2 linked regions of the Pelodiscus sinensis genome follow. The protein of the gene in region 1 binds, or shares a complex with, the protein of each later gene. Links are inferred from orthologs where the notes say so. Each region holds a gene or a part of one and is shown on either strand. Other genes may lie near its edges.

Evidence for each region.
Region 2: the proteins of DNTTIP1 (region 1) and MIDEAS are in contact, whole or in part, in a cryo-EM structure (PDB 6Z2J), measured with the Homo sapiens proteins. The link is inferred for Pelodiscus sinensis from reciprocal best matches to the Homo sapiens genes DNTTIP1 and MIDEAS. Residues at the interface, in NP_443183.1 of Homo sapiens: Pro63, Ser66, Leu69, Leu70, Ala72, Val73, Leu74, Pro76, Ser77; in NP_001036783.1 of Homo sapiens: Gln768, Asp771, Leu772, Thr774, Ala775, Ser778, Ser779, Ile802, Leu803, Leu806.

The regions. Positions count from the first base shown.
Region 1 is NC_134728.1:12,937-16,681, reverse strand, and holds the start of DNTTIP1 (deoxynucleotidyltransferase terminal-interacting protein 1), read left to right. Parts: upstream 1-1,297; 5' UTR 1,298-1,312; coding exon 1,313-1,507; intron 1,508-1,820; coding exon 1,821-1,891; intron 1,892-2,769; coding exon 2,770-2,866; intron 2,867-3,362; coding exon 3,363-3,461; intron 3,462-3,745. Other genes in the region: uncharacterized protein LOC102461217, read right to left, coding at 275-293. UniProt on the Homo sapiens protein: Increases DNTT terminal deoxynucleotidyltransferase activity (in vitro). Also acts as a transcriptional regulator, binding to the consensus sequence 5'-GNTGCATG-3' following an AT-tract.
Region 2 is NC_134714.1:67,325,730-67,329,474, reverse strand, and holds the start of MIDEAS (mitotic deacetylase-associated SANT domain protein), read right to left. Parts: upstream 2,561-3,745; 5' UTR 2,231-2,560; intron 1,896-2,230; exon of another isoform or gene 1,876-1,895; intron 1-1,875.

The sequences.
Region 1 (3,745 bases):
TTGGTTTTAAGAATAAATTTCACTCCCTTCCAAGTTACAGCTACGCAGACAAGTAATAACATTCTCCTGGAACATAAAAATAAGCAACTGAATTCACGTCCTCACAGGGAATTCTATTTCACATTGTACTGATCAGATGCACTGTCAGTCTCTCCCCTTGCTGGGCCACACAGCCTGTTGGGAGCTCACTCTACACCCTCTTGGCATGGTGCTGCCAAAGACGAGAGAAAGAAAGCGCAGGCAGGTGAATAAACGTCTAATGAGGAGGACTCACCCAAGCACAGGATCTGCATGGTCTGGGCAGCTTGCAGTCGCAGGAGTACCTGTGCCCCCTAAACTTCCTGTCGAGTAAATGGAAACAAGTGGGCTTGGCTATGCAGAAAACGAAAGCGAGCGCTTCATCAAACCCCGCTCCCCAACATGACGCACTAGCTGGGACCCTGACTGCGGCACCGCCTGAGCACAGGGACAGGCCCAAGGTCATCAGACTGCCAGAAGGAACGGACTGGACTGGAGCGTGTCACCCTAGGGCAGTGGGGGGTTGCCGGGCTGGGGGGGCGGCCGTGCCCGGGCCACGTGCCGGGTGGCGGGGCCGCCCACGCGCCATGGTCCAGGAGCCAGCACCGCACACGCCGTGGGCAGGGCCGCCCACACCATTCCACGGGGACACAAACACCCACGGGCGCCACGCTGGGGACCACGGCCCAGGGCCCTGCCAGGGCAGCCTCCCTCCTCCCACGCTGGGGCAGCCATTGCCCCCCCCCGCGGCTCTGCCCCTTGGGGCCTGAGACAAGACGCAGGCGCGGAGCGGGGGGGGAAGGGCCGGGCCGGGCCCCCCCAGGCAGGGCCCCCCCCACGGCGGCTGAGGCCGGGCCGGGGCCCCCAGGCAGGGCCCCCCCCACGGCGGCTGAGGCCGGGCCGGGCCCCCCCAGGCAGGGCCCCCCCCACGGCGGCTGAGGCCGGGCCGGGCCCCCCCAGGCAGGGCCCCCCCCACGGCGGCTGAGGCCGGGCCGGGCCCCCCCCGGCAGGGCCCCCCCCACGGCGGCTGAGGCCGGGCCGGGCCCCCCCCAGGCCGGGCCCCCCCCACGGCGGCTGAGGCCGGGCCGGGCCCTCGTGCAGGGTCTGGGGCCACGGGGCGGCCCGGGGCTCAGGCAGCCGCAGGGGCACGTGGGAGCGCGCGGCCCCCGGGGGCGGGCCAGCGGGGTGTGGCTCGGGCGGGGGGGGGGGGGGGGGCACGTCGCGGCGGCAGCGCGCGGCTCCGGCCCGGCGCGTGCCCGTGGGGAGGAGCCCGCCCCGCCCCTCGCAGAACAAGATGGCGGCCGGTTGCCATAGCAGCCGTCGCGCTTCCTCCTGGAGCGGCGTCGCAGGCGTGATGACGTCAGGCCCGTTCGGCTGCTTCCGGGTGCGGCGGGCCGGGGGCGCTGCGGGATCCGCGATGGGGGCGGCCCGGGACCCGGAGCAGCAGGCGCCGGGGGAAGGGGGCCTCGAGGAGGGGGATGGGCAGCCGGTGAGCGCGGGCGGAGGGGCCGCCTGGCGAGCCCCGGGGGGTGGCGGGGGGGGGTTGCCTGGCGAGCCCCCAGGGGGTGGCGGGGGGGGTTGCCTGGCGAGCCCCCCCCCGGGGGGAGGCGGGGGGGGTTGCCTGGCGAGCCCCCCGGGGGAGGCGGGGGGGGTTGCCTGGCGAGCCCCCCGGGGGAGGCGGGGGGGGTTGCCTGGCGAGCCCCCCGGGGGAGGCGGGGGGGGTTGCCTGGCGAGCCCCCCGGGGGAGGCGGGGGGGGTTGCCTGGCGAGCCCTGCGAGCTCACCCTGCCTCTCCTCCCGCAGAGCCCCTGGAACATCATGATCAAGCACCGGCAGGTGCAGCGGCGCGGGCGACGCTCCCAGATGGCCACGAGGTAACAGCTGCCCTGGCCGCGCTCCCAGCAGCACAAGTCTCCTCTGACACCCGCTGTGTGATCCCAGCGGGCAAGGCTCCTGCCAGGGCCATGCCGGGGCCAGAGAAAGGCTCCGTGTGAAGTCTGGTCCTGCCTCTGCCACCCGCTCCCTGGGCCAGCCACAATGTGGGGCGCTCGATCTGTATAGTGGGGCTCGCTACCCACGGAACTGATATTCTTTGGGGCTGGAAATGCTCCCTAGCTGCTAAGGGGTTGAGGCCACACTGTGAGATATCCGGCGTTCTAGGGGCCGTGGCAGGTTGTTTGATCCTGGTGAAGTGGGGGATTCATCAGAATGCTCATACTGGGCCAAGCCAAAGATCTGTCTGCCCAAGTGTCCTGGCTTTCAGCTTGTGGCCAGTGCCAGATGTATCCGAGGCAGTGAACAGAACAGGCCAATGTATCGAGTGATCCATCCCTGTCATCCAGGCCCAGCTTCTGGCAGTTACGAGGGTTAGGATCATCTCGGCTAATAGCCAGAGATCGGCCTGTGCTCTGGGAACCGATCTCGTTCTTTGTTGAACCCAGTTGTGTGTTTACATCACTTGCGTGCAAACCACACTCCTCTCGGGCTGACACTTGGAGCCAGAGGCACTTTGTGTTCTCCTCTGCTGGGAGACTTAGAGTTGGAATCAGTGGGTAATTCCGCTGCTGGCTTTGGAGTGGAAATCAGCTTGCAGCCTGTGTTGTGTCCTTTGCAGACGCCTGTAAACTCTGGCGGACACTCACGTGGGTGAGAGCATTCGGGAGAGCACTGCCGCGTGGGGCTTTGGGGACTGTCTGGGTGGTGTGCTAGGTGTGGCAGGAAAGCCAGGTGGAGTCATTTCTCTCTCATTCAGCTTTACAGACCCTGCTGTCTCCATGGATTTGCTGCGAGCTGTTCTGCAGCCTAGTATTAATGAGGAGATCCAGACTGTCTTCAATAAATACATGAAGGTAAAGCTCACAGGAAGAGGGAAATTTCTTGGACGGACATCATCCTTCCCCTGCCTCTAGCCTGTGCTGGAAGGTGCTGCCACTGTGAAAGCCCTGCCCCATAGGCCAAGTCACATACACAACCCAACCCTGTGAACTGAATAAGAGGGGCAGGTGAAGGCTGCTCTGCCTAACCCTGAAAGGGTCCCACTCCAGGACTCCTGGTCTGAAATCCACAGAACTGTAAAAGTGAGTTCTGCTGGAGGGCACTGAGGGACCAGAGAGCATGGAGTCTTCTCCCAAAGGATATGGAGCTTCCGAATGGGACTACGTCCCGTGTTCTCAGTGCTGACCCTGATGGTATTAGGTTGTGGCATGAGCAGAGGTGGACCCTGGAATTGCCAGACCCTGCTTTTGTCTGTGCAGAGAACAGCCTTGTCCCAAGGAGGCAGCCTTCTGTGGAAAGAGCTGAGAGCAGCCAGCGTCATGCTAACTCTCTCCTTGGGCCCCTTCCCAGTTTTTCCAGAAGGCAGCAGGTAACGTGAGAGAGAACGTCGGGGAGGACGTGGATCCAGAGCAGCTCATCCAGGAAACGTGTCGGAGCTGCCTAGAACAGGTAGGCATGTGCCAGCGCCACACACCTGCTGCCACCGCCCTCTGGGACCAGCCTTGCAAGGAAATACCTGCTGCATGGTCTCCTGGGGGTGCAGAGCATTACAGGCTGGCTTCCCAGGACCTCACAGTGCAAAGAGTCCCTGGAAACAGGCTTTTGGATTCAGGTCAGTGATACGCGGGCTGCCACTCCCTAACATGCCCCAGCGGCTCGGGGCAGCCGTGGTATTAAAATGCGTGTGGTTTCGTTGTTAGTCGGGATGTTTCTACAGTGTCAGTAACCGACTG
Region 2 (3,745 bases), on another chromosome or scaffold:
CTATTTACGTCTTCTCATAAGACAAGAACTAGGGGTCACCAAATTAAGTTAATAGGCAGCAGGTTTAAAACAAATATTTAAGAAATATTTCTTCATACAACACATAGTCAACTTGCAGGGTTCAAAAATAACTAGATACGTTCATGTAGGATAAGTCTGTCAATGGCTATTAGCAAAGTTGGGCTTTGTTGGTGTACCTAGCCTCTGCAAGAAGCTGGGAATGAATGATAGAGAATGGATCACTTGATGATTATCTGTTCTTTTCATTTCCTCTGGGGCACATGACACTGGCCATGGTCAGAAAACAAGATACTGGTCTAGATGGACCTTTGGTCTAACCCTGCATGATTATTTTATGTTCTTATGCAAATTACCTTCTTTGCCTCTCCCACCACCAAACAAGAGAATAGCTGAATTGCAACCACTTTTTAATTTTAATGCACTTGTTTTTCCTTACCCAGTACATAAGACAGGACCTTACCAGAGTCATAATTACACAGCAGAAGTCTACACAAAATCCACCAAGCTAATAGCAGAACTGACTGCTTAGTATCCACTGAACTGTCAAAAGACAGGTCCACAGATTCAATGAACTTTTGATATCTTTTACAAATTCAGACATGATTATAAATATTTTCTTTGTGGAGTATATCAAATCTAGGACTCCACTAGTGGCATGTGTCTCCTTCACAAAACATCCCTTCTCCCATTTTTAGGGGAAAAGGGCAATGCAAACAAATTCATTTTCCCCTCCTTTTAATTCTGAGGAGTTTGATAACATTTCAGGGAGGGATCATCATGACTTGAGGTCAAAAGGCAAAAAGGAACTTAGCAGCTTAGTAATGGCTAAATTCTCTTTTTATTATTTGCAATGCAAATCCTCTTTTTGTTCAACACAGAAGTCTTGCACAATAGCCTGTGTATGCACATTAGTTCCAACAATGCCTTCCTATGCAATCACATTGTAATTATACACTGTCATAAAGCTGTGGCTGCTATGAACTGCAGTATCACCCTATAAACAACTAATCTCAGTCTCTGCATTAGGACATGTCTCAGTCTTCCCCTCCCTTTACTATTTGCATACCGCCTTGATGCAGAGAACCTTTGCACTGCTTACAAACCAGTAAACCTGGATTTAATCAAGTTATTATCCTGTCTATTATACATTTTTAACTAGTTGTTTTAAAACAAATACCAAATAAATCTATTAAGTGCCACGTGGAAAAATTCCTGTAGGTTTATAACCTTGCAAGGCTTTATAAAGCAAAAATAAATCTTTGTTTAAAGTGTATTAGAATAAAGGGCGTGTATTATATAAGACATTCACATATGTGCGTGGGCGTATTGTCAGCTTTTATTAGTAAACTGCAAACTATCAGTCCTTTACAGTTACAGTCAGATGAAGAATTGCAAAACTTAGAATGCAAGATTGTCAAAAACAATTTAATATGTTTTAAACCCCATCCCCCAGAACTGTTTAATTATCAAACGGATGTTTATGATCTTTGTAAATCAAGAGCTCCCTTTTGTTTAATTCAGTACAGTATTTTTTAAAAATCAGTTAGCTTCCTTCCTACATGCACAGGCAACTTAAAGATGAGCACTTTTCTCACACTTTACACATTTCAAGCAAAGACTAATAAACAGGGAACATTCAAAAATCTTGAACTGAGATCCAGATACTGATCAGATGGAAATTTTAACAGGAGAAAAAATAGGCAAGAGACAGCTTCTTAAGTTGATAAAAAAGACATATAGAGATCATTGATGTAGCTTTGCTTCCCGCTCCCCCCCCCCCCCCCGAGAGAGAGAGAGAGAATGGCTTTGCATGGTCTTCTTTTTAAATTTATTTTAAATACACTTAATGTTTACCGTTTTTCAAACAGAAGAAACAAAAGCTGTGTTTCACATGAAGAAAGGTACTTGTGTCACAGCACGTCTGCTGCTATTCTCCAGCCTGCATGTGCGTGGGCCCCCAAAAGAGCAAAGTCAGCTGCTCCTGTCATTTGGCAATACTGATATGGAGGTAGGGTGTCAAGGCCATATAAACGGAAACTTAAATGCAGATCTCCCTCTCTACGTTCTTTTAGCTTAATCTTGTTCCAAAAAATAACCACAGATCAACCGACTGATTTTAAAAAAGAGCAATACCACAAACACGGAAACAAATCAATAAACAAAAAACTGCTGCAGAAAAGAGGGTGGGGAGTGGAATTCGTTTGCTCACCTTGGAAGCTAAAGGCAGCTCCGTTCCCAGCTCTGCTACTCCGAGGAGGGGGGACGCAGATGAAACAATTAACAAACAAAAACTTTGTTCCTTTCCCCCTGGGGCTCACTAAAAGCGTCACTTCCTCATACTGTAAGTGGAGGAGGCTCCCAATAGTCCCTTTAAGTCAACTCCTCCTCCTGCTTCTCTCCCAGAAGCTGCAGTTTAGAGTTCTAGTCCGGGACCCGCTTGTTCCTCTCCTCCAACCCTTGAGCAGTTAGTTCTGAGTGGCAGTAGCCGTGATCCTGCCAGGCTGCCCTTCTCAAAGCTCTTCGTTTGACCTTCTGAGCTTAGCATTTGTTACTAGTGTGTAGAAAAGAGGGGAGGGGAAGTTCTGCCGCACTGATTTGCGAAGCAAAACCTCGCTGAGAAATGCCGCTCTGTATATGTCATACCTTGCAAAACTCCTCGGTTATATAACGTGTCCAGTTCTCAGCCGTCCCCCGTTCAGGCTGATCTATTTACTTCTTTTTAATGGGAAAAGATTATAATGGGATTTTAGGGAGCAACTTGCAAGTGAGAATAGATTTCCCTGTTCTTTCCCCCAGCCCCTCCTGAAGTAAATACAGTAGGAATGGGATTGAAAGTGGGGAACCACAGAGTTCAGGGTTTTTGACAAATCTTCAGGTCTTTTCAGTAAATGCTGGATGTTTCACCAAACATCTTGAAACTTTCTAAAAGAATTTTCCTTTTGCTACAGAAAATTGTTCTCTCACCCAGTGGAATATGTACCTCTGTTTGTTTTCTGGGGGAACCTCAGGCCGAGGAGCCAGATGCGGCCCCTGGCTTGTCTGGATCTGGCCCCGGAGGCTGTGGGCCTCCCCCCAGCATTGAGGAGTCTGCACTAGTGCTCCAACACCCCAACTACTGGGCTGGAGCACACAAAATCTACTAGGCTGCCCCCTGCCCCCCCCAGGCTTTGATGTGGGAGGAAAGCGAGGGGACCATCTTTCTCCTTCTCAATTGTGTGCCGCCCCAGACTGATTTTCCTGTGGGTCAGCGGCCCCTGACCCAAAAAAAGTTCCCCACCTCTGAAATAGTTCACATTAAGTGCTGGGGGAACTTTCAGTCTCTCGGGGCAGAGAAAAAAGGTGCATGCTTGCACCTGCTCCACTCACTCACCCTGCTCCACTTTACATTAGAAAGTAAAATTTTTGTTCCATCATCACTCCCCGTGTAGACGGCATAAGAGTAAATAGTTATTGACAACAAGCAACACTTGAATAAATATATAAAGCAATGTTTTGGACAGAGTTAAAATGATCAGAAGAAAAACCCAGAGGGTCATAAAGAAAAATATACTAACAAGTCAATTCAGAATGAAGATGGCAACATTTTATGAAAACCTTCCTGTATATTCTTTTTTCTGTTTCACTTTTGATCACTTGCTATTTAACCCCACTCGCATTTACTTCTCCCCACCTCCAGGTTGGATCTATCTACCACACAAAGATTAATACAGAATTGATCAAACCT